3 linked regions of the Caenorhabditis elegans genome follow. The protein of the gene in region 2 purifies or fractionates together with the protein of the main gene of each other region. This does not show direct contact. Each region holds a gene or a part of one and is shown on either strand. Other genes may lie near its edges.

What was found.
Region 1: the proteins of atf-6 (region 2) and snpc-3.4 fractionate together in Caenorhabditis elegans (co-fractionation; one large-scale study listed by BioGRID). This does not show direct contact.
Region 3: the proteins of atf-6 (region 2) and T22C1.9 fractionate together in Caenorhabditis elegans (co-fractionation; one large-scale study listed by BioGRID). This does not show direct contact.

What each region holds. Positions count from the first base shown.
Region 1 is NC_003281.10:4,015,990-4,022,383, reverse strand, and holds snpc-3.4 (snRNA-activating protein complex subunit 3), read right to left. Parts: upstream 2,348-6,394; 5' UTR 2,225-2,347; coding exon 2,122-2,224; intron 2,077-2,121; coding exon 1,938-2,076; intron 1,887-1,937; coding exon 1,782-1,886; intron 1,737-1,781; coding exon 1,625-1,736; intron 1,577-1,624; coding exon 1,391-1,576; intron 1,333-1,390; coding exon 1,175-1,332; intron 1,129-1,174; coding exon 862-1,128; intron 794-861; coding exon 607-793; 3' UTR 501-606; downstream 1-500. Other genes in the region: tftc-5 (General transcription factor 3C polypeptide 5), read right to left, coding at 1-72, 118-213; tbb-2 (Tubulin beta-2 chain), read left to right, coding at 4,762-4,927, 5,000-5,518, 5,596-6,069, 6,125-6,318.
Region 2 is NC_003284.9:12,477,656-12,487,905, forward strand, and holds atf-6 (Transcription factor atf-6 homolog), read left to right. Parts: upstream 1-3,292; coding exon 3,293-3,385; intron 3,386-3,441; coding exon 3,442-3,633; intron 3,634-3,925; coding exon 3,926-4,201; intron 4,202-4,249; coding exon 4,250-4,420; intron 4,421-4,470; coding exon 4,471-4,647; intron 4,648-4,695; coding exon 4,696-4,935; intron 4,936-4,981; coding exon 4,982-5,067; intron 5,068-5,116; coding exon 5,117-5,347; intron 5,348-5,579; coding exon 5,580-5,796; intron 5,797-6,530; coding exon 6,531-6,617; 3' UTR 6,618-7,249; downstream 7,250-10,250. Other genes in the region: tbc-13 (TBC1 domain family member 13), read left to right, coding at 7,399-7,692, 10,239-10,250. UniProt on the Caenorhabditis elegans protein: Transcription factor. Plays a role in the unfolded protein response (UPR), perhaps mainly during constitutive endoplasmic reticulum (ER) stress, by activating transcription of genes involved in the UPR.
Region 3 is NC_003279.8:7,955,034-7,960,658, reverse strand, and holds T22C1.9 (uncharacterized protein), read right to left. Parts: upstream 2,013-5,625; 5' UTR 1,951-2,012; coding exon 1,846-1,950; intron 1,802-1,845; coding exon 1,714-1,801; intron 1,378-1,713; coding exon 1,016-1,377; intron 786-1,015; coding exon 753-785; 3' UTR 501-752; downstream 1-500. Other genes in the region: T22C1.12 (C6 domain-containing protein), read left to right, coding at 126-254; T22C1.8 (Protein-tyrosine phosphatase), read left to right, coding at 2,340-2,478, 2,527-2,681, 2,833-3,013, 3,059-3,446, 3,552-3,751, 3,799-3,908, 3,956-4,525, 4,570-4,602.

The DNA.
Region 1 (6,394 bases), on a different chromosome or scaffold from region 2:
ACTTAATTCCAGTGAATGATTATTGAAGTGAGATTGACTGATTAGTTGGAGACCGCCCATCGTTTGAAGTGCCTGAAAAGAGACAATTTATTTGCTGAATACCGTATGTATTCCAACCTTATCAACATTTTTGACAATTCCTGGATATTTGATTAGGACCAGCTGCTGCGGCTCCTCGCGTTTTTGTTGTGTGAAATTGAGAAAATCGTTCATTTTTCCTGAAATAAGTTGTTATTCTTTAAGGTGGTCTAAATATTTGATAAAGATTGCAAATATTCGAAATAAATTTAAACGGTTGAATTAATTTCGAATTGCCGCATAAGTTCCGAGTTGCGTATTGTGCGTCAAAACACGCTTCTTAATTTAATTATACGAGTAAAAGCGTGTTTCGACGCACAATACGTATACGCCTGTCGAGTGAATTCAATAGTTTTAAAAACTCAAATTTAAATATATAAAAATGGTTTACAAAACCAATCAGATGAAATCCAATTAAAAAAGAACAATAAAATTTTTAAATGTCCAGCATTTCCTTTTTTCTATAAAAAATACCAGTAAAAACATAAAGTTTTTGCAAAATAAATAGAAATAAATATCAAAATTATTTCAATCATCTTCTTGTTCAAAATCTCCAAACGGCCATCCTCTTTGCTCTCCAGTCTGTAGTTCTGTATACGGCCAAGCAATGAATGAATGCGTCTTGACACCATGCACATAGTTGAACTCCTGGAAGCATGTCCTGCAGAAGTGTGTGTAGGTGTTGGGAAGAAGCTCGTGGCGTTCGACGACGAATCTGGAAATGTAAAATTTTAAATTAATTTACTTTGAGGAAAAACAATAATTTTTGCGAATTAAACTTACTCCACATGCCCTTTTTTACAAATATCACATTTCTTTTCATTTCCCTTCTCGTATAAGGTGAATGGATATTTATCGATTCCCCACGGGTCCGATTCATGAAGAAGTCGCAAATCATGAAAAACGAGTAGATGTTCACAATTCCCAGAATGCTGGAATATGTACGGCTGCCCTAGACGCAGCTTCAGGTCAATAATTCTGACTCCTTCCATACTACAAGCCTCCACTGGATCATAAATCTCGCGGTGAAGCATAAAGTTGCGGATTGGGCTGAAAAATGTTTTTAAACATTTTTCTAAAGAAAATTACTAATTACTGTGAAATGTCAATTGCATTGGGTGGCATATCCACATAAAAGGTATCATGAACAAATATAAATGATGATGGAAATCGAACTGCGGTTGCATTATCCAAATTCGGTGGATCCAGCTCCAAACCATTCTCCAATGGAACAATTGTATCACTTTGACATACCTGAAAGTTTAAAAAAAATTAAATATTTAATGTGTGTTTTAAATTCAAAAAATCATACAAATTTCTGCCGTAAATCCGAAAGAAGGGTGTCTCCACGAACAAGAAACTTGGTCATTGGCTTCAAAAGTCGCGAGCTCCGAAGTTCAGAAGATAAAAGTTCTCGATTGTATGGCATCAGTGCATCAACGATAAGGACAATGTCATCTTCACATTTCTCTAATATTGAACATTGAGGATGGAAAAGCTGGAAAAATTATTTTATAAAGATTTTTATTTTTATTAATTAATTTACAGAAGTATTTGCTCCGGCGTTCAACATGTATTTGTCATATTTCAGTGACGTGACATATGCGGACTTCCGCTGCCTTGAAGTTTTCATAGTCTTTTCTCGACTTATCACATGTCTGAAAAATTATAGTTTTTGAATAAAAGGTTTAAATAATATTTACTTGTGGGAAACTAGCGGTGATCGTTCGAGGAACTTGCGATCCCCCTTCATATCTTCAAATCGTCGAGTTTGAACGTCTGATGACCCCTCCAGAAACATATCGAGGCTGAAAATCAATAAAATTAGTTGTTTTTCGATTTTTTGAAATTTACTTTACTTTGAAACTTCTTCAATAGCTTCCAATGATTCTTCTTCTGTTACTCCTTGAATATAAGACAGACTGTTCTTCCACATTTCCATTTCATGTTCTTTTTCGGTTTTTGAATCGAAATCGTCCATTGTTCTATCGATAATAACTGAAAATTCGACAATATTCGATTGTTTTAAGATAATAAACTAACCTTCTCCCAACTCTCGAACTTCCAGCATCTCTTCCTTCACTGTGGCTAAATTGAGCAGTGGAGAAATATACCATTGTTCATCAGAATTGAACTTTCTGTCCATTTATTTAAAAATTGAATTCAAACAGTTATACGGAGGAGAAAGTTGGATAAAAGAATTCGAAAAATTGCTTTTTCAAAAAAAAAAACAATTTTCTGGAGGGGTACGGTGTACAACGGTGTTTGCACAGTTTATTGTACACCGACGCGCAATAATGCACATTTGTGTGCGCGGGAAATTTTGTTGGGCGGCAAATTTTGAATTTTAGGCCTCGAACATTCCCTCTTTTTGTCATTCTCATCTTCATTCGCTACTTTTTTTTGCAATTTTTTGCCTAAAACGCTTTCAAGCTACTTCTGCATCGTTTCGCGCTTTAAATTTGCAAATGGTCTGTCCTAAAACGTTCTGCCCCTCATTTTAGCTTCCTTTTTCTGTTCCATTTCCTGTGAAAGGTGACTCATTCATAAACTATTCCCTTCTCAGCGGTTTAGGAGACTGGGGAAATTGTAATTTTGTAGTTTTATTCGTGATTGATGCATAAAATTGCATAAAATAGGCCGCCATAATCTTTCTTGAAGGTCAGCCACCGTGTTTATCTGATATATAATTATTATGTCCTTGCTGCGATCAGCTCAACCGGGCGCAATAGGCGGATACCATTCATCATTTTCGACATGTACAAGTACTTCTCGTGTAACATATTTGCACAGCTTGTCATGGTTTCTGGTTATTCGGGTCATTTTAGTATCTGTTCCATTATAATTTCCCCAAAAAACTGTTTGCTGTTTGTTTCTGTTCTTATCATTTCCCTAGATTGCGTGTTATCAGCTCAAATTCTTCTGTTGTTTCTACTTTTCGGCGCCGAATGAATCACAGAAATAGAATTTCTCTTTGCAACTGATTAATATTTTGAGTTCCACTTTTTCAGTTGGCTAGTTCCTTAACTTCGTAAGCCAGGCGCGTCGTCTTTTCAAATTGCTAGATGGATGGGCACATTTTTTGAAATGCCTCGCCTGTGGCGGGTTGGTAAGGGACACCGCTGTCGCCCGTTGGTCAAGGCCGTCACAAAGCATTCGCGTCCCTGTCCATCCGAAACATAGAGGGCGCGGAGAGAAAAACGACGGGAGAAGGGAGGGAAGCACGGGCGGCGCCAGTCTCTATGTTTCTCGCTTGGTATAATGTGTCTCATCGACAACGGAAAGTGGGGGTAAGAGTAGAGCTCTTTTTCGTCCCCAGCGCCGACACACGACCCTTAACTCGACTTTTTTCGTCAGTTATTTCTTGGAATTTTTTTTTGAAGCTTCCCGTTGATTTGGATTGTATTTTAAAATCGTTATCCAACCAGCAACTGATCTAGATAGTACCCATTAACATTGTCTCCTGGCGCGTGTACTACGGTAATTGACCTTTCTCTGACTGGCTGCATGTGTGACGAAGTATTGGCTGCATATGTATCGTATTGTATAGGCGACCCCAAGCCGATTGTCACTGCCACGTCATCTCCGTTTCTCTTTTCTCCGCAATTCTCAATTCACCACCACCGCAGCCGTCAACAGGGGTACGATTTCCATCGCATTGAACTAGTTTTTGTCCCTCGTTTTTCTTCACGGTTCGTCTTCATCTCTTTTATTCTGAAGGCTTTTCAAAGCTGCAGGCCCCCAGCACATTTCATTCGGTTCCCATAGGATTACTGCGCGCCAAGCGGCATCTCCCTCTCTACCCCAAACCAATAGCACCAAATTGCACCCGATGAAAAGCCATCTGTGTCGTGTGCTCTATCTCCTTCTGCCAAACCTAGTGGTGACACGCAAAACAAATGGATTAAGCAAAAAGAGAGGGAATTGATGGACATTTTGTGTATGTTTCGCAATAGATTTGCCTCTGCTCTCTTCCTCTTCACCCATTCTACCCATATCTGCATATTTCGCAATAGTCTATTCGATTTCACCACCCTTTGCAGTCCAACAACGACTGCTGCCCCAGTGGCCACTGCGGTTTTTAATGCGAGCGGGCGCCGCGCGCCCCGTGTTCTCGCGATTATCGATCCGAATGCACACAGCGTCGGACACAACTGCGCCCGACCCGCCTCTTCTTCGTCTCCATTCCATACATCCCAAGAGCTGCATGTCTGCTCCTACAACGTCCTTTTGTTTCCTTTTTGGGGTAGCGATTATGAAAAGTGGGCTCATTTTAGAGCAAATAGAAAGGTACTTGCGCTGAAATTTTTATCGAAAGTAGTTAATTTCGGAGTGCAATAAACTAGAATCAACCTATATAGAATAGAAAAGAATCACCAATTAAACATCTCTTATATTTTTCAAGGTAACCTTATTCAACCTTATTCCTAATTCGTCTTTTAATTTCTTATTTTCGCCGTGAATCATTTAATTTCAGAGCACAATAAACTAGAATCAAATCACCAATTAAACATCTCTCAAATTTCAATGTATTAAAAAAACTTACTCCTTTAATTTTAAATTTTTGCCGTGAATCATTGCTTTTCAATATCGACCATGACGTGTTCTCTTTCTTTTGTTATTTTCCTTCATCTTCTCTATCTAAATATAGTTTTTCAATTCATTACGACCTTTTCAGCAAAAATGAGAGAGATCGTCCACGTGCAAGCCGGACAATGCGGAAACCAAATCGGATCCAAATTCTGGGAGGTCATCTCCGACGAGCACGGAATCCAGCCAGACGGAACCTTCAAGGGAGAGACGGATCTCCAGCTTGAGCGCATTGACGTCTACTACAACGAAGCCAACAGTGAGTTTTTAAAATTTTCTGGAGATTTCGAAATCGTTTAGTTGGAATGATTAATTAATTAAATTTTTTCAGACGGAAAGTATGTGCCACGCGCCGTGTTGGTCGATCTCGAACCAGGAACCATGGATTCTGTCCGCTCTGGACCATTCGGCCAGCTGTTCCGTCCTGACAACTTTGTGTTCGGACAAAGCGGAGCCGGAAACAACTGGGCCAAGGGTCACTACACAGAAGGAGCTGAGCTTGTCGACAATGTGCTTGACGTGATCCGCAAGGAAGCCGAAGGATGCGATTGTCTTCAAGGATTCCAACTCACTCACTCTCTCGGAGGAGGAACCGGATCTGGAATGGGAACACTTCTCATCTCCAAAATCCGCGAAGAGTACCCAGACAGAATCATGAGCTCATTCTCGGTTGTACCATCGCCAAAGGTGTCCGACACAGTTGTAGAACCATACAATGCCACCCTCTCCGTCCACCAGCTTGTTGAGAACACCGATGAGACCTACTGCATTGACAACGAGGCCCTCTACGACATCTGCTACCGTACCCTCAAACTCACCAACCCAACCTACGGTGATTTGAACCATCTTGGTAAGTTATTATTTCTTGTTCAAGTTTAAGTTATGCACAAGTTACCCAAATTGAAACCTAATAATTACAATTTTCAGTATCCCTCACCATGTCCGGAGTTACCACCTGTCTCCGATTCCCAGGACAGCTCAATGCCGATCTCCGCAAGCTTGCCGTCAACATGGTTCCATTCCCACGTCTTCACTTCTTCATGCCAGGATTCGCACCACTTTCCGCCAAGGGAACCCAGGCTTACCGTGCCCTTACCGTCGCCGAGCTCACCCAACAAATGTTCGATGCCAAGAACATGATGGCTGCCTGTGACCCAAGACACGGACGTTACCTGACCGTGGCCGCTATGTTCCGTGGACGCATGTCGATGAGAGAGGTTGACGAGCAAATGCTCAACGTTCAGAACAAGAACTCGTCCTACTTCGTCGAATGGATCCCGAACAACGTCAAGACCGCCGTTTGTGACATCCCACCAAGAGGACTCAAGATGGCTGCCACCTTCGTTGGAAACTCGACCGCTATCCAAGAGCTTTTCAAGCGTATCTCAGAGCAGTTCACTGGTAAGAAATTTGAAACTATCATCCAGTATCAGTTTTAAAAACGTTATTTTTTCAGCTATGTTCCGCCGCAAGGCTTTCCTCCATTGGTACACTGGAGAAGGAATGGACGAGATGGAGTTCACCGAAGCCGAGAGCAACATGAACGATCTCATCTCAGAATACCAACAATACCAAGAAGCAACTGCCGAAGACGACGTCGACGGATACGCTGAGGGAGAAGCTGGAGAGACTTACGAATCGGAGCAATAAATGCAAGATCCTTTCAAGCATTCCCTTCTTCTCTATCACTCTTCTTTCTTTTTGTCAAAAAATTCTCTCGCTAATT
Region 2 (10,250 bases):
TGCATAAAAATATCTAATGAACATATTGATAGCAAGGCAATGCAAAAACGCGAAGGTTCTAATTACCGAAATTCAGAAAGGTCCTGAACAATGAAGACAGACATTCTTTCATACATTTTTATTTGCGTTGGTGCAATAGAAATATCAGAACATGCTCTTTGCATTTAATGTTTTCTGTCAAACGGATAAAAATTATTAAAAAAAAAAATCTCGCCAATGCAACATTTTGAAGAGAATCTAAGTGAAACCAAAATAAGAAGTGATAATCGAAACTATGTTTGTTTCTAATGCACAGTCTTAACCAAAAAACACATTTTCATGTAAAAAAAAACTATAATTCGCAAACCGTTTTAAAGTGATATGAAGTTTTGAACTTGGAGTTTTTGAAACATGACGATTTGTTCGAATCAGCATGGAAGGCTTTCAACTAAATTAAAAAGTGATATAAAGAGCAACAAAAATTTTTATTCCACGGCAATGTTAGATTCAATTGATTGTTTAAAACTGCCTTTTTGCCAACCTATCGGTTGCAACTGTTGGATATAAACTTTTTCGAATATTCTAGTATTTTGTCAGCCGTTAAAAAATGCGTTTTAGAAGTTGAAAACCAATACTTGAAACAAAAACTAATGTAACTAAAACTCTGCAAAAGCTTCTAGAAAACTAAAATAACGTTCATTTTTGACATGGAATTGGAATTATAACATATCTAATTAGAGAGCCGTTACCAGAGATATTAGATTTTTTAAAATGCTAAACATATGAGTGCATTTTTTCAATAAAGCTTTAGACCGATTTTGCCGGAAATTGACTTCTACGATAGATACACATATTACTAGTTTAATCTATTATATTCAACAGTTGTTCAAATTTGTTTGCGTCCCCCCGTTTTCCTGCTTTATTTTCTTTCTCGTTTGCACTAACAATATGAATTGTATGCCCTGTTTCATATGTTATAAATACCCTGTTATGATGAATACACTTGCTGATAACAATAAAATTAACAACGTTACTCTTTAAATATTAACAGAGGAGAGGGTATTCGATAACAAGCACTTTATGTTTCAGGTAGTATCAGAATTGTCCTTTCACGTGTTTTCTATAATGATAGGACGGTTTTATGAAAATATTTTTTAAAAGTATAACCAATTGTTTTCCAGTTTAAGTTTAAATTTTGAGCAACATTCATTTTTCAAAATAATTTTTTCACTTAAAATATTTTTTTAATAGTGAAAACGATGAAGATTTTACAAATGTTTTTCCCCTAAAAAAGGGAAGACATTTTTTTCACAGCAACTCGCGTTATATCCTTCAAGTACTTTTTTTTATTTTTTAACATTTTATTGTAGTAGCTTCACCAGTTATATTATTCCATAGCATCATGTTTAATCACTTTTTATGGTTGAAGCTTCTGAATTTGAAAGGTCATCACTAGCTTTCAATTTAATTTTTTTTATTTCACAAAGCATCGCCCACTTTCCACCCCACACAATTTATTTTATGAATCGCTGCTTGGATTGCCCAAAAGCACACACAAGTGCACATTGGTCCTCGTACATAATTCAATGCCATAGTAACACACTTAGCATCCCCCGGCCGTTCTCGACGACGATTAGTGTAGTCCTAGCCAAAAAGTGTTCACTTGCACTTTTATTTTATTCAAATGAAGTGCGGTTCCATTTGGTGCTACTATGCTACACGTCACGTCGTTTTTTTTCCACTCGTTCTTTTTGTGTATACTAATGCAAAGTGTTTGTTTTTCACTGCGGGGTAAATTTAATCAACAGAGGTTCATATTTCTTGTGTATTGTTTATAAGATCATTCTTGTTGATACTTTTACTTTTGGAACAGTTTTGACAAGAAATGTTAGCTTTTATGTACTAACAAATCAAAGTGTGATGTGAAGAAATACCAGAACTTTCAAAGCCACTTGCAAGAGTATACACAATAAAAGTTTTCGTCGTCGATATTATTTGAAAGTGTTCCTTTCTTGGAAAAAAATTTCTCATGATTTGCTTTTTATTGGTTTGGTTTTCTAGAAGACATTGTTTAATATTTGAAGAAAATTGTCGGAAAAAATACTTGGGGTTCACTAAAAAGTTATTTTTCAAAGTATTTAGAGATTTCTTATTAGTGTAGTTGCGCGGTTATCGAATTTTGTATTTGAAAATTAAATTGTATACATACAAACATTGCAATATCGCCTACCTTACTACCGTACTAATTTTCCATCAAATTGTAGGGGTGTAAGATTAATATAAATTGCAAGAATTATTTTTGTGAAACTGATTTGACGCCAACTAAAAATATGAATGTTTTTCCATTAGGAATTTCAATGGCCATTTTAACTTCGAAAATTGACTTTACCCTAAAAACAAAAAAGTTTACAAAACAAATATTCCACAAAGTATTGCTCGCCTGTCAACAAGTCAATGCTAAACTATTAGGAAACCCAATATTTTCTCTAATACAACTACAGTCACAGGACAATCTATTATATTGTAGAATTTTCTCTGCATATTATTGAAATTTAAAACTTAAATTTGGTTTGGTCTTTTTTTCAAACCCAGTGGATGTTCGTCTGTTGAGCTTTAGAAAAGAAGGCAAACAGTATTAGTCAATGACTGATAAAATTATGCACAACCGAAATAAAAACTAAAGACAAGTAGAGAAAATACAGTATATCATTTTTTTTTCTATGAATTTTTGCTTTAATTAGTGGTTTCTTTATTTGGTTTATAAAATAAGATCGTAAAGTAATATAGCCGCTATCCCTTCCCCGTTTATTACCTTACTACTATACTTTTAGTGACCCACTTTCCATTTTTTGTCCGTCTTCCATTTTCGCTTGCCCACTCCTCTTCCTCCGCAACAAAAATTCTGCGACAGAACAAACACTGCGAGAGCGCCACCTCGTCCTCATCTACTGTGGTGGCCTTCTCACTGTCACTGTGCCGGGGACTCTTTTTCTCTGACTCTGCCCCCCCCCCCCTTGCCTCTCCGGTCGTTTGACCGGCGTACTGGCAGTGTGCCAGCCGGGGTCGTGTGCAAACGCGCTCCGTTGATATTTCATTGGATGCTATCCTTAATCGTCTTGCCCTCCTTTTTTCATGGTCACTTCTTTCATCTACCTGATTTTCGTTTCTTGCTATTGAGATATATCTAAGATTTTTTTTTTAATCTTACCAGTTTCTAAAAATGTGATTGAGTTTTAGGATTATTTGTCTTTAGAAACCTATTCTTCTCTTTTTTTTCTCTAACACTGTATTTCAAAAACTTTTTAAATTTCAGATGAACTTTGACAATACGGTTCATGAATCAAACTTTGATGATCTCCTGCATAACCCAAATTTTCCGCCGCAATTTGACCAGCTAGAGTTGGACGTGAGTTTTCTTTCTGTGTCTTGAAAGGACCACTAATACAAAATATCGATTTTCAGAGCCTACTTTACGGGACCGACGAATCACAAGAATCGACCTCTTCCTCTTCGTTTGGTTTCAGTGATCAGAATGCTGGATTTCGCTCAAGAGACGGCGGGAGTTTAGGAGATTCTTCGTCGGATAGCTCTCCACCGTTGAGTTGTGCAAACTTCACAGAAAATGACCAGGAAATGTGGGATTTTGGCTTTCAAGTAAGTTGTTTTTTTTCGCACAAAACTCGTTAAAAATGTTTGTCGAAACGGATCGTTTACACTCTATTGTTTAATGGAAATGTGTTTTATTTTAAACAACCTTACATGCAAGTTGTTGTGTGTATGATGTTTGCTCCTACCATGAAAACTTAGCACGAAGACAAAATTTTCCTACAGAATTACTTTACTTTTAATTTCGGGGTACGGATACTACACAAAATCTTGTTCAAAATTTAATATCAACTACAAAATCCTAATCTATCAATATCATACTTAGTCGTTTGTTTTGCAGAGTCGCAGTCCATTCGAGAATTTTGAGCAACAATTTGGCTCTCCATATCAGGACGACGAAGTGATTGCCGAGCCCACCAATGAATTCATGAACGCAAGATACCTCAGAGAAGAACCGGCCAAGCATTTGCCCATGCAACAAAAACGAATTATCACAATTCTCCCCAAACAGTCACAGCCTGTGAAACGTATTGTCAGCAGACCAATCCAGAAAGTATACCGCGTCAAGGAATCACCCGGCAGTCAGCAACAAACATACCGAGTTGTTCAGCCCTTGGTGAGCGATTGAACGTCAAGTAAAATAGTTTATTCGAATTTTTTTCAGATGCCATCTCCTTCACAAGCTACGCAACGCCAAATCAAGCAAATGTATTACAATGAGCCGGTTCAAGAAATTCATATGCAACCAAAAAGTGGTCCGCTGGTTCGACAAGTGTCCGAAGAGCCAAGATACGTTCCAATTGCTCCGACAGTAGATATCAAAGCAGAACCACAAGTGAGCTTATCTTCAAAACATATTTAAATTCATGACTTTACAATTTCCAGGTTTTTACTTCCGAGCAAAATCGAAAAATTCGGAACCGAATGTACGCCCAAGCCTCTCGCATGCGCAAGAAGGAAGCCGATGAACATATGAAAATGAACCTTCAGGAACTGCTTCAAGAAAACGAGATTCTAAGAACTGAGAATGCCGCTTTGAAGCAACGCCTTGCGTTTTTTGAAGTAGTTCTGAACTCATAAAAATTTTAACATTTTAAAATACATTTTCAGCACGAAGAGCCAGTTGTCGAAGTTCCACAACCCTTTGGAAGAAATCAGAAGAAAAAAAGAATTATTGCTGCTGGTTCAGTACTAATGATGTTCGGACTTTTTGCAGTCATCTCTCCATTTAATGTCGATAACAATTTGAATATAAACAATCAAATCATGGCAATTTCCAACGAAACTTCTATGGTTGCTCGCCACGGAAGAGTCATCACGTATGAAGATAGTGCTCCTGTTGCAAAAATTGTATGTGTACGAGCTTAATATTTAAAAATCTCTTATAAAAGTTTAGCCTACTCAACAACCAATCCACAACTATCCGAACTCCACTCAAAATGATTGTGATATGTACAAACTAAACGCCACAGAGACAATAAGGTGAGGGACTTGAAAATGAACAATTTTTATAACTGACTACTCTTTTCAGAGTAAACAACGACATTGAGCGCTGGGTACAAGTACATTCATTTGATAATGTTCCAATGAAGTTTTCGGGAGGACTATTAAATAAGGAAGCAATGCGAAAGTTCAACTACGCACAGAAAGTAAAACCAGCCTCAGTTTATGGACCACAGACATTGGCGGTTCAAAAGAAATCAGAGCAAGCGGCGCTCAGATCTCGGGAACGTACATGGAAGCAGTTGGATCTACTGAAGACGTAAGTAGACTTTTTCTTTAATTTAAAATTCATAATGACACGAATGGGCACACTACCGACGTAATCGAACTTCGAGTTCATGTTTTACTTTGTTCACTTTGTATTGAGATGACATGACCGTAATTGCAAACGAAGAAGTCGGACCAATTGAAAATTATTCAAATGCATTTGCAATTCCAGCAGCAAACAACAAAACTATTTCAATAACATGTAAATAATAATTAATTTAAAGCGGAAACAATATTCAACTGGATAACGAGAAAATTCAACGTAAACGACAAGATATTGACAAAATCGCTTCAATTGTTCGCCAAAAGGGAGATACACTGTACATTATGACACTTCAAGACTACGTGCTTCTGCCTTCATTGATTAAAGGAGCAAACTCGGTTCCCAAACTATCGTTGCTCCTGCCTAGTGTTCCAATGAATGGAACTCTCCAAGATCAGGTAACTAGGGAGTTCAAAAAAATATGATTAGTAAAAAAAAATATTTTTGTTAAACTGTAGGCATTGATTTCACAACTGTCAAATTTGCCTTCAGTATCAGAAAAAATATATTAATTGCAAAATTCTCATGTCTCTGTAAGTTTCCTGACGTTCAATGCGAGTTATTTTTTACAGTGACTTTAATTTGAGATTTAGAAATGAATTGATCACAGCCATTGGTTGATTGTAGTTTTTTTAAAATCAATTTGAACGTTCAAGTAGTAGGAGCAGTTATATTTGTGTAGATATTATCAAAAATGTCACTAGTGTTACGTTGCATCGTTATTAGAAAGAGAGACTTTGAAATTTTTTTTTTGATTTTTGGATTAACGGTTTCTTTCATTCTATGGATCTATAGAGTATTAACTGTAACTTTATATGTTTAATTTTGAATTGCCAGAATTTTGACAAAAAAAATTACCAAAGTAGAGCTCTAAAACTGTTGAATAATTCCAAGCTTTTACAAGTTGCAGTTAATAAAATAAAATTTATTCAACCAGTTTAAAAATTGATTTTACAACTCTGAGATATCATGTAGGAATATTGCTTGTGCTTGCCTGCGTGAGATTTAACGGATAGGTTTTACTCGGCATGTGTTCAACAGCTGCAATTTTTAAACCAGTTTCGTAATATGTGCAGCTTTTAGCTAGATTCATATGTAGGTTCACTTCAGTTTTATTGAGTTCAATTTTCAGTATACTCTTCTTCGAGTTGATTGTGAAGTGACAGGGACTGGCCAATTGACACTTTCCAACAAGCAACTTTCATATTTGATGCCGTGATACTGATATTGATCAACAACTACGCTTATTATATTCCCACTTTTCTCAATTTCCGTGCCTTTTTTATTCACCCACTTTACCTTTCTTCTTTTGATTCGTTTTTATCAATCTTTTATGTTAAATATTCATTATGCATTTCTGAAATCGCCGGTCACCGATCAACCTCTTTTTGTTGTACCCGTTTTCGCTGCGTCTCTCACTTTACATCAATCATATTCCGGTCTTTTTCGATTGTCTTTATTTCTCTCAAACTCTCTTATCTCAGTCTTATTCCTATTCCAACACATATGTATTGTATATTAATTACCATTCGTTTTCTCATCATTTTACCAGTTTTTCAGAATTTTATCAACCACAAAACTCCATACAAAATATGCCAGTCATTGTCTCACCAAGTTCTAGTTGAAATCACCCAATTCTCATAACATAGTCATTCAGTTACACCACCATTGATGATATTCATCTTTCATGATATGTTTTATTTTGAAAGTCACTTTATTAATCTCGGGGTCTTAATTTATATAGTTTGATGTTCCTTTTTCTATTCAAATTCTAATTATAAGTGCCTAATTATCTGGGATTTTTGCATTTTTCTTGTCAATAATTATCTAAATGAAGGGTTCAAAATATTAGTTTCAAACGAAAAATTGGGTTCTATGTTTACCTGCACTGGTTTTTCTACTAGCTTTGTTATTTTCCGTTTGTTTCTACCTATGTTGTCTTTTCTCCTCCTTTCTTTTTTTTTTAAAACCTTTTTCACCTTCTACCTCTACCTTTCAGAATGACGTCTCGATATATGGAACGTCTTGCAAAAATCGAGGAGGTACTTCTCATTGCAAATAAGAAAATCGATATTAACGAATTGAGAGCCGGGTGTAGCTACGGAGTTCCCGAATCTCTGCGACCGTTGGCATGGCGTTTGCTTCTGCACTATCTCCCATTGGAGCGTCACAAGTGGCAAACATTTTTGGCCGAACAGAGAGATAACTACGATCAGATGATTGAGCAGATAATCGTGGAGCCGGGAACAGCGTCTTTGCAGCAAAGTGCTGCTCAAAATCAGGATAATGATCATGTATGTTTTGTTGTTTCGTTAAAGTTTAAAGAATTCAAGTTAAATAAAAGAAAGAAATAATGTAGACATCCCATAGATTCTTGTATTCAAATATGTTATTCCCCAAAAAGTTGTTTTTAAAGGCAAATACACTTTTGAAATTACATGACAAACAAGATTTCAAAAAAAAACTTCAAATTGAAAGAATTTATACAAAATTTGAGTTTTCAACCTGTCTATAAAAATTACTTGTTTGAATCCTACAATGTCTAGATACAATTTATTAAAATAGACTCAAAACTTGAAAATTATAGACACAGTTTTTCTAAAATTGTAATATGTATGTGAGGACTAAGTGAACTTTTCGACTGTAAACAATGTAATTTTCAAACAATTTTTCCATCAAACTTCATTATTTTGGCAATGTTAAAGTGGTTTCAAAATTTTCTATTAGCACTACTCCACAGTTAAAATTTTATGGATGGTGTGTCAAATCAATCCAGTTAAAACATAACCTTTTTACTCTATCAGTTTGCCGAATGATGTAATATACTTTATTAGCTACGATATAACATTATTTTTTTAAAGCATTGAAATTGACACAAGCAAAACTGAATAACAAGTTTTTAATCCATAAAAAGAGATATGACTTCTAGAAATAAAGATTAATTTTTTGAAAATTGAATTATCTATCACCAACCTATCCGGGACTTTCCACTCAGTAGTTCACAAGTTAGAGATGTTTCATTTTTCTCATTTTGAGGTGCGCTACAGTAATCGCATGGGTTAAGTTCATCTGGTATTTCTTTCTGACCAATTTGCGAAACTATTTGGATTGTTGACTGTTCTGAACTTAGTTTCCAAACTAGTATTTATTATTATATTTATTTTGATTTGAATGTAAAAAAATTGATACTCGAATTAACAACGAAAAACGTTTGCTTTTAAAGTTGTAAGTCCATTTTGTTTAGCCAAGAACCCTTTTTTTTTTCTAAATTTCCATGATCCCGTTTTTTAGAAATTCTTTAGATTCAAAACGATATCAATATTTCGAAAAGGTGCATCCCTCGTTAGTTCAAAAAGAGAAAAAAAAACAAAACTTGTGTTCTGTTTTTTGCGTAGGTGCGACACAAAACTTTATGACTCTAAGATACGTGGGAACTTTCGAATATCAAGTGCGGAAACGTTTTTTCTTCTCAGAACCTTTAATCTACTCCCTCAGTTCGGTTTTCCCAAGCGCTCCGAAAGTGTAGGTGGCGGATAAGAAATTAAACATCACAATTTATACTATTATAGGAACAGCTCAAAATAGAAAGCTTAGTATGCCACCTAAGAGCAAGAACCATATATGAGCTCAAAAAGAAATATGTTGAATAATTAAGGATTTGTAGCTTTTAATCTTATTTCAAAGAGATTATCTATACTTTTTTTACGCATACAACTAAATACATTACACACCAATACAAGTTAATGAAATTAAGAATAGATACATATTTGTTCATGATTCATCAAGTTGAAAATATGATGCATATCTCATATCTGTATATCAGTTTAAAAAATACAATATCCCATACAAATTAAAAATAAACTATGTACAAAATTGCATTTTTATTTTTAACAATTTGATTTATTAGTTGTTTCATTCTTCTTATAATTTGTTTGCAAGATATGAACAATGACTGCAAATTTCATATATCGAATTCTCCCAGACCATTTAGAATTTGAATGGATAGAATCTTCAATTCTATCACTAACATTTAATTGATCATTCCTATGATGTTTAAAAGTGTGCACTCAACAAATCCATTTTTGATATTTTATTCATTTTTAATTGGTAAGAGAGAAATAGAACAATATTAAATCTCCTAAAACTTGAGCACTCTAAAAAATGAATGAAGAATTAAAAAGCGCTAATCTAACACTAAAACAATTTTTGTACTTGAGATATGGCGTGTATTTTTGCGTAATCGTTCGAATGGACAAAATTGAATGGAATGTAAAGGATATTTCATCTCAAGTTCTTATACTGATCAAAAGATAACTACTTGAGATTATTTAAATTTGAAAAAGTTCCTCGTTGGGTTCACCATCTGTTTATACCGGTTTCGTATGCTGAGTGACACATTTTGTTACTTTGTTCCTTACGCGCCCTTCACAAATCAAGTCCATGTGAAATGAGTTGACCTGCCGCCACCATTTTTGTCGGGACAGCAAACCCATCTCAAGTGGTGCAGGAATGCATAGACAACGTTTTTCCTCATAGCTAATTCAGACAAAAAAGCGACACAAGACATATCTACGTCATCTGAGCGTCGGGTTCCGTAGTTTGATCAAACGATCGTTAATGGAGGCGGGTGACGATATGTGAATTTGAGCAGGAACCCACGTGTAGTTAAAGGATGTTCGAGAGCACTTTTGACGGATTAAAATTTCCAATTATTTTGGGCTCAACAATGACAAATCTGAGAGAAATGATTCGAAAAAAAGGGATTAAAATAGATACGTCAACCAACTATTTCAATTCATTCTATCAGAAAGATGACTAATCAAATTGCAAACATTTTCAGCCACTCTCCGAC
Region 3 (5,625 bases), on a different chromosome or scaffold from region 2:
AATGGAGTTAGAATCCGATCTTCTAAAAGTATTTGTTTAAATTTCGAGAAATACTCGTTGTTTTCTAATTTTAATTATGTTTGCTGTTGTGAATCTCAAATATTATAAACAAGTTTCAATTCCAGAATTTCTCAACAGTTCGCCGCCATGATTTGTCTGATAAGTACAGTATCCGATGTAACCAAATGACAGGAGTTTGGCTATCAGACGAAAATTCCGAGATTAGTTATGTGCCTATCGTCCGATGCTTGTGAACAAGGTTTTCTCTGGAATTTGGGAAGAGTTTAGCCATTTCTTCAATGTGATCTGGGATATCTTGAAGACTAACTTCGGATTCCTAAAGTTTATCGTTGGCTATGAATAATTTTGTTCGAAATAAATATGTTTCATCATCTGATAATGGAAAATTAAACTGAATGCAGTACGATTTTTCAGAATTTTAGATTCATATTTCGATTGTTATTTTGAACAGGAAGAACTCACGGCATTCATTTATTTAATCGGCTGTATGATTTTATTGAAAAATTCAAATATCGTGTGAAAATCAAGAAAAAAAGTAGTAAGTTGAGGATATAAATTGCAGTTTAAAATTTGAAATTTTCCTGGTAATTGGCTCAGAAGGTGTTTAAAATAAGTAGAATGGCATTTGTGAACAGTTTCATTCATAAATAAAGATGCTCTACAGTTCTATAAGTCTACAAGTTTGGAGCATTCAACATTTGCTATTCTTTGGTGAAGGTGAAGAGAGTTTGCTACTTTTTGAAGTTGAAGAAAGACTTGCCCAGCTGTAAAAATATTTCATTAAAAGTTTCCAATTGTTGGCAGCAATATTTTCTTATTTTCTTTGTGCTCATCAAAGCTTTTTCTACGATAAGCGGCTCAGGTGCCGCTCCAAACCACGCAGGCAACGCCTACAACCACGCTCAAGACTGCCAGCTTCTGCGTGGTCTAGACGCGTTGCCTGCGTGGTTTGATTTATCTGAGGTACCTTCAAAATTCAACGATTAAAAAAAACCTTTTTAAATCCACTCGGCTCGTGTTCCTCTTCAGAATTATGTTCCATCTGAACAACATGAGAATCTCGTCCTCCATCGTTTCGATCTTTATTATCATCCTTTTGATCACCATGAACATCTTCCTTCTTATGATCATCATGTCCTACATCTTTTTCAGATTTCTTGGATTTTGTAGACTTCATCGACTTTTTCGATCTGATACTTTTGAAGCTCTTGGCCAACGATTCAGCTTCACCCAATGCACCTAATTTTTTACAAGTCTTTTCTGATTTTTGAGCCATTTTGGGATCCGGTTTCTCTTCTCCATCTTTTGTCACAACGGTACGCGCTTCAAACGATGGATGGTTACATTCTTTACCCTCTGAAAAACATCCAGTTCTAAAATTCCAACATACACATTTTGATTGTTTCTTATGGGGTTATTCAAGTAGTGTCGGAAAATTAAAAAGTGTAGAAAAATTACGTCACAACTGTATTCAAGTATATAAAAACGTGTATTTAAATACATTTGTGAGGTCACAAATGTATTTAAATACATTTTGCTACATTACTTAAATAACCCCATTAGAGATCTTTTGCAAAAAATATCAAAGCACCACCTAAACCAGAGCTAGGATTCTGAGAGCAAAGAAAATCTTATCTGAGCAAAAGCCTGACAGGAAAAGTTCCACAGAATATTAGAATATTCTAATATTACTTTTCAATCTCCACATAGCACACATAAACCAAACAGCACAGCTCAGAGTACAGAAGACAAATCCAACAGAAATTACAATCCAAAACCACTGAAAAATTTCAAAAGATTAGAAGTTTTTAAAAATGAACTTACCATTGGATAATAATGATGATCGTATATATCAATTGTGACATTATTACCGAGAGTCAAAACTCTTTTAGTGATAAGTGAAGACGAAGTATTTGCCGGTTTTACCATCTCTCACTTTTGAAAAGTCAGGAATAAATTTGATTGTTCGAAGTCGTAGTAGATTTGTAAATAAGATTGTTTAAGTTCGTTGGCAGAAATAAAAGTTCACGCATTTCAGAAATGTGAAATTTAGAAAATGTTATTTTCGTAAAAACGTAAAATACAATTACAACAACATATATGTATATATTTTTTTAATTTGAACTTCCACGTCCCCCCCCCCCTCCTTATTTGAAAGTTGTCAATATCAGAGATTAGTCGAAAGTTGAATTATTTCTACATTTGTCTTCGTCAGCTTCGAACGAAGAAATCAAAATAAAACCGACGCTTCTCGAAAAAAACGAATCGTTCCGAGATAGTGTAATCCATCAATCAACGGATCAGTGAACTGAAATAAAATGCAACGAAGAAAGGGAACACGTGGAAATTCGCAGGATGATCAACAGGCATCTCGACGCCTTGCGAAAAAGCCATCTGACGAAAAAGTTGATGAAAAGGATAAAAAGAAAGGAGGAGTACTGAAAAGATTGGGATTTCGTGAGTTTAATCATACAGTATTATTTAGAAAAATCTGAATTCTTTCAGTTCTTCACAATGAGAAAAAGGAAGAGGTTGGAAGCACCCAGAAAAGGAGAAAACCAAAAAGAGGAACCGAACGGAAACGAGCATGTTCTCATCCGGTCTGGAATCCTGACAAGAAGATCCACTTCAATAACGAAAAAACGCATGCCATAATCCCGGTAAATACTTTTGGACTTTTTGGACGTTAATTATATTATTATACATTCCCGTATACATCGGGAAGGGTGCAGGTAGACTGAGAGACCTCGTCCGGGTGGAAAGTACAATAAAAAGAGAAAGCACTTCTCAATCCGAATTTATGATTTTCAGTTAAAAGGCGATCCACTGTCGGATGTACAGAAGAAGGTTTTCTTCAAGTTTGCAAGTGATGCTGTCAAGAAGAATCCTCCAGAGTACTCAGTCGAATTCATGACAAAAGTGAAACCATATCCTGGTCAGCCAATGGAACGGAAAATCTTTGACGCGAACCCAACAAAGAATCGCTATAAAGGTATGAAATATAGGAACTTGAATCGAATTAAAATTAATATTTCAGATGTTGTTTGCAATGACATAACACGCGTGATTCTCAGTGATGGTGGTGATGGAGATTATATCCATGCAAACTATGTAAATGGTTTGAACGCTCCGTTCATTTTGACACAAGGCGCCACTGCAGCAACTGTCATTGATTTCTGGAGAATGGTTGTTCACACGAAGACTGCCTACATTGTGATGCTATGTGAGGTGATGGAAGACGGAAAGGCTAAATGTGCCCAATACTATCCGGAAAAAGCTGGAGAAGCAATGACTTTCGGAGCATGGACCATTCTGTGTTCATTGGAGGATGATAAGGATGCGAATATCATCAAAAGAACATTATCAGTTAGAAATGTGGACAATGGGAAGGAACATATTTTGAAGCATTTGCATACAAAGTCATGGTAAGCCACTGATCTTTACAGAACAACATTCGGTTTAGTGTCATTGAAAAACCAAAATCAGAAAACTCAAACTGAAAATCTTTATAATAATAGAATTACTTTCAGGCCTGACCGTTGTGTCCCTAACTCTACGATGGCTTTGCTCCGAATGCTCTACATTGTGCGCACAGCTTCCGGCCCAGTCACTGTTCACTGCTCCGCCGGAATTGGCCGAACAGGCACTTTTGTTGCGATTGAAGCATGTCTTCAAATACTGACGGATGGGAAAGAACTGGATTTGCTGGGAACTTGTAGAGCCTTGAGAAGTAAGTTAATATTGAAATGATGATTTTTATTAATCACGTTTTTTAAGACAGCCGAGCCGGAAGTATTCAAGTTGACATTCAATACATGGCACTTGTGCAGATTCTGATCAACTACGGAAAGGATAATGGCTACTGGGATGACTCGGATTTAGATGATGTGAGTGTGACTTCAGTGGAAAGCAAGGTTTATGTATTATATTTCAGAGAGTTGAGCTTCTCACTTGGAACATCCAGCAGTTCATCCAGACACGTGGAAAAGTGGATCACGTACCAACAACACCATCCACACCAGCACTCAACATCATTCCAGCTGATGCCAAGCCTGTTCCAGTTGTTCCAAAAGAAGCTACTCCACATCATTCTCCAGCAGAAAAAGCACAAGAATGCATGGAAAAGATTTGCGAAAAGATTCTGAAACCTATCAAAAAGGACAAAGAATGCAAAGAGCACAAATCTCCGAAGACTGAACATCCAAAAGAATGCAAAGATCATCCACTTCCACTCGAAACAAGATCTTCTTCGGAAGATGGACCTGATATGGAAGACCAAAAAACTCAGGCGACGCAAAAAGTTGAGATCAAAGAGGAAACTGCTGCCCAGAATGACAATATCAGCATGATCTCTCTTCCAAATGAACCACTTCTGTCGATTCCCGTTGTGAGAAAGAACAGTAAAGATGGTAACAAGGACAGTTGCGATACGAAAGAGAGCAAGGAAACAAAGGGACACGAGAAGAAGAACTCCAAGGAAGGCAATTTCAAGCTGGTGAAAAAGGTATAAAGTTCGAATGTTTGTAGTCGTAACTAATTTATTTTCAGCAATCTGCCAACCGTAGTCAATACTTCCTGTAATGTTCTGCCATTACCAGCCCGCTCTTGTGATCTACTATCGAGTTCCCAAAATTTTTTTCCTTGAATGAATGGTTACTTGTATTTTTTGAGTTTTCACATTTGATTCATCTTTGCGACCAAAAAATTAGACATCCGGTAACCTTTGTCCGAGTGGAACAGCACATATTCACCTCATTCTCGTAGTTAGCTCCGTCACCTTCAGTCTTATTCTCCTCTTCGATCGAAAATCGCTGATCTTCTTTGAACAACGATACGATTGTCGGAGAGCGGTCTAGAACACCTTCAGCTTCATTCTTCTAAATACTTTCAAACTATTTTCAGTCAGACATTTGTAAAAGTTCAATACTTTATTTTAACTTTTCAAATAACCAACTCCATGATATATTATTATATTTGTTTTTTTTTCTTCAGTAATCACAGTACAGGGATACAGTTATCAACATGATTTGCTTCAAGAAACCGCAAAACCTGAGGTTTTGGAGGGCTCTGTGCATCCAACAAAAAGAAAAAAAAAAGAAAGACTGCCCTTTTTAGAAAAATTTGAAAAAAGCCTGAAAACAAACTGTGAATTTTAAAATTATCAGAAAATTGGAAAAAACGTATATTTTTTTAAATGAGATCGTCGCTTAGCTTTGTCTGAGGGTCGTCATGCTCGAAGGATCGGCGAATCTGGAAAAATCACATGCCCTACGGTGTTCAATTTTAGATATCGGGAAACAATAAATAGATCTGAAGAAAAAATCCCTGTTTTGCATTTCAATAGACTTTTTCTTTGTTTTCGTAGTTCTTCAAGTATTTCAATCTCTTCCTGTTCTCCACATATGATGTCCATCATCATCTCTCTTTCTCTCTTTCTTATTTTTGGTGCAAAGTATCGGAAGGGTCCAGGAGCGAAAAAAAACGAAAGAGGAGGCGGGGTACACGTCAGAAAACCGGAGGAATTCGACAAGCAGGGTGAGGAGAAAAAACGAAGAGGCGACGTCAAAAAGTGATATGAATAGTGTAATTTTGTGGGAGAAGCTA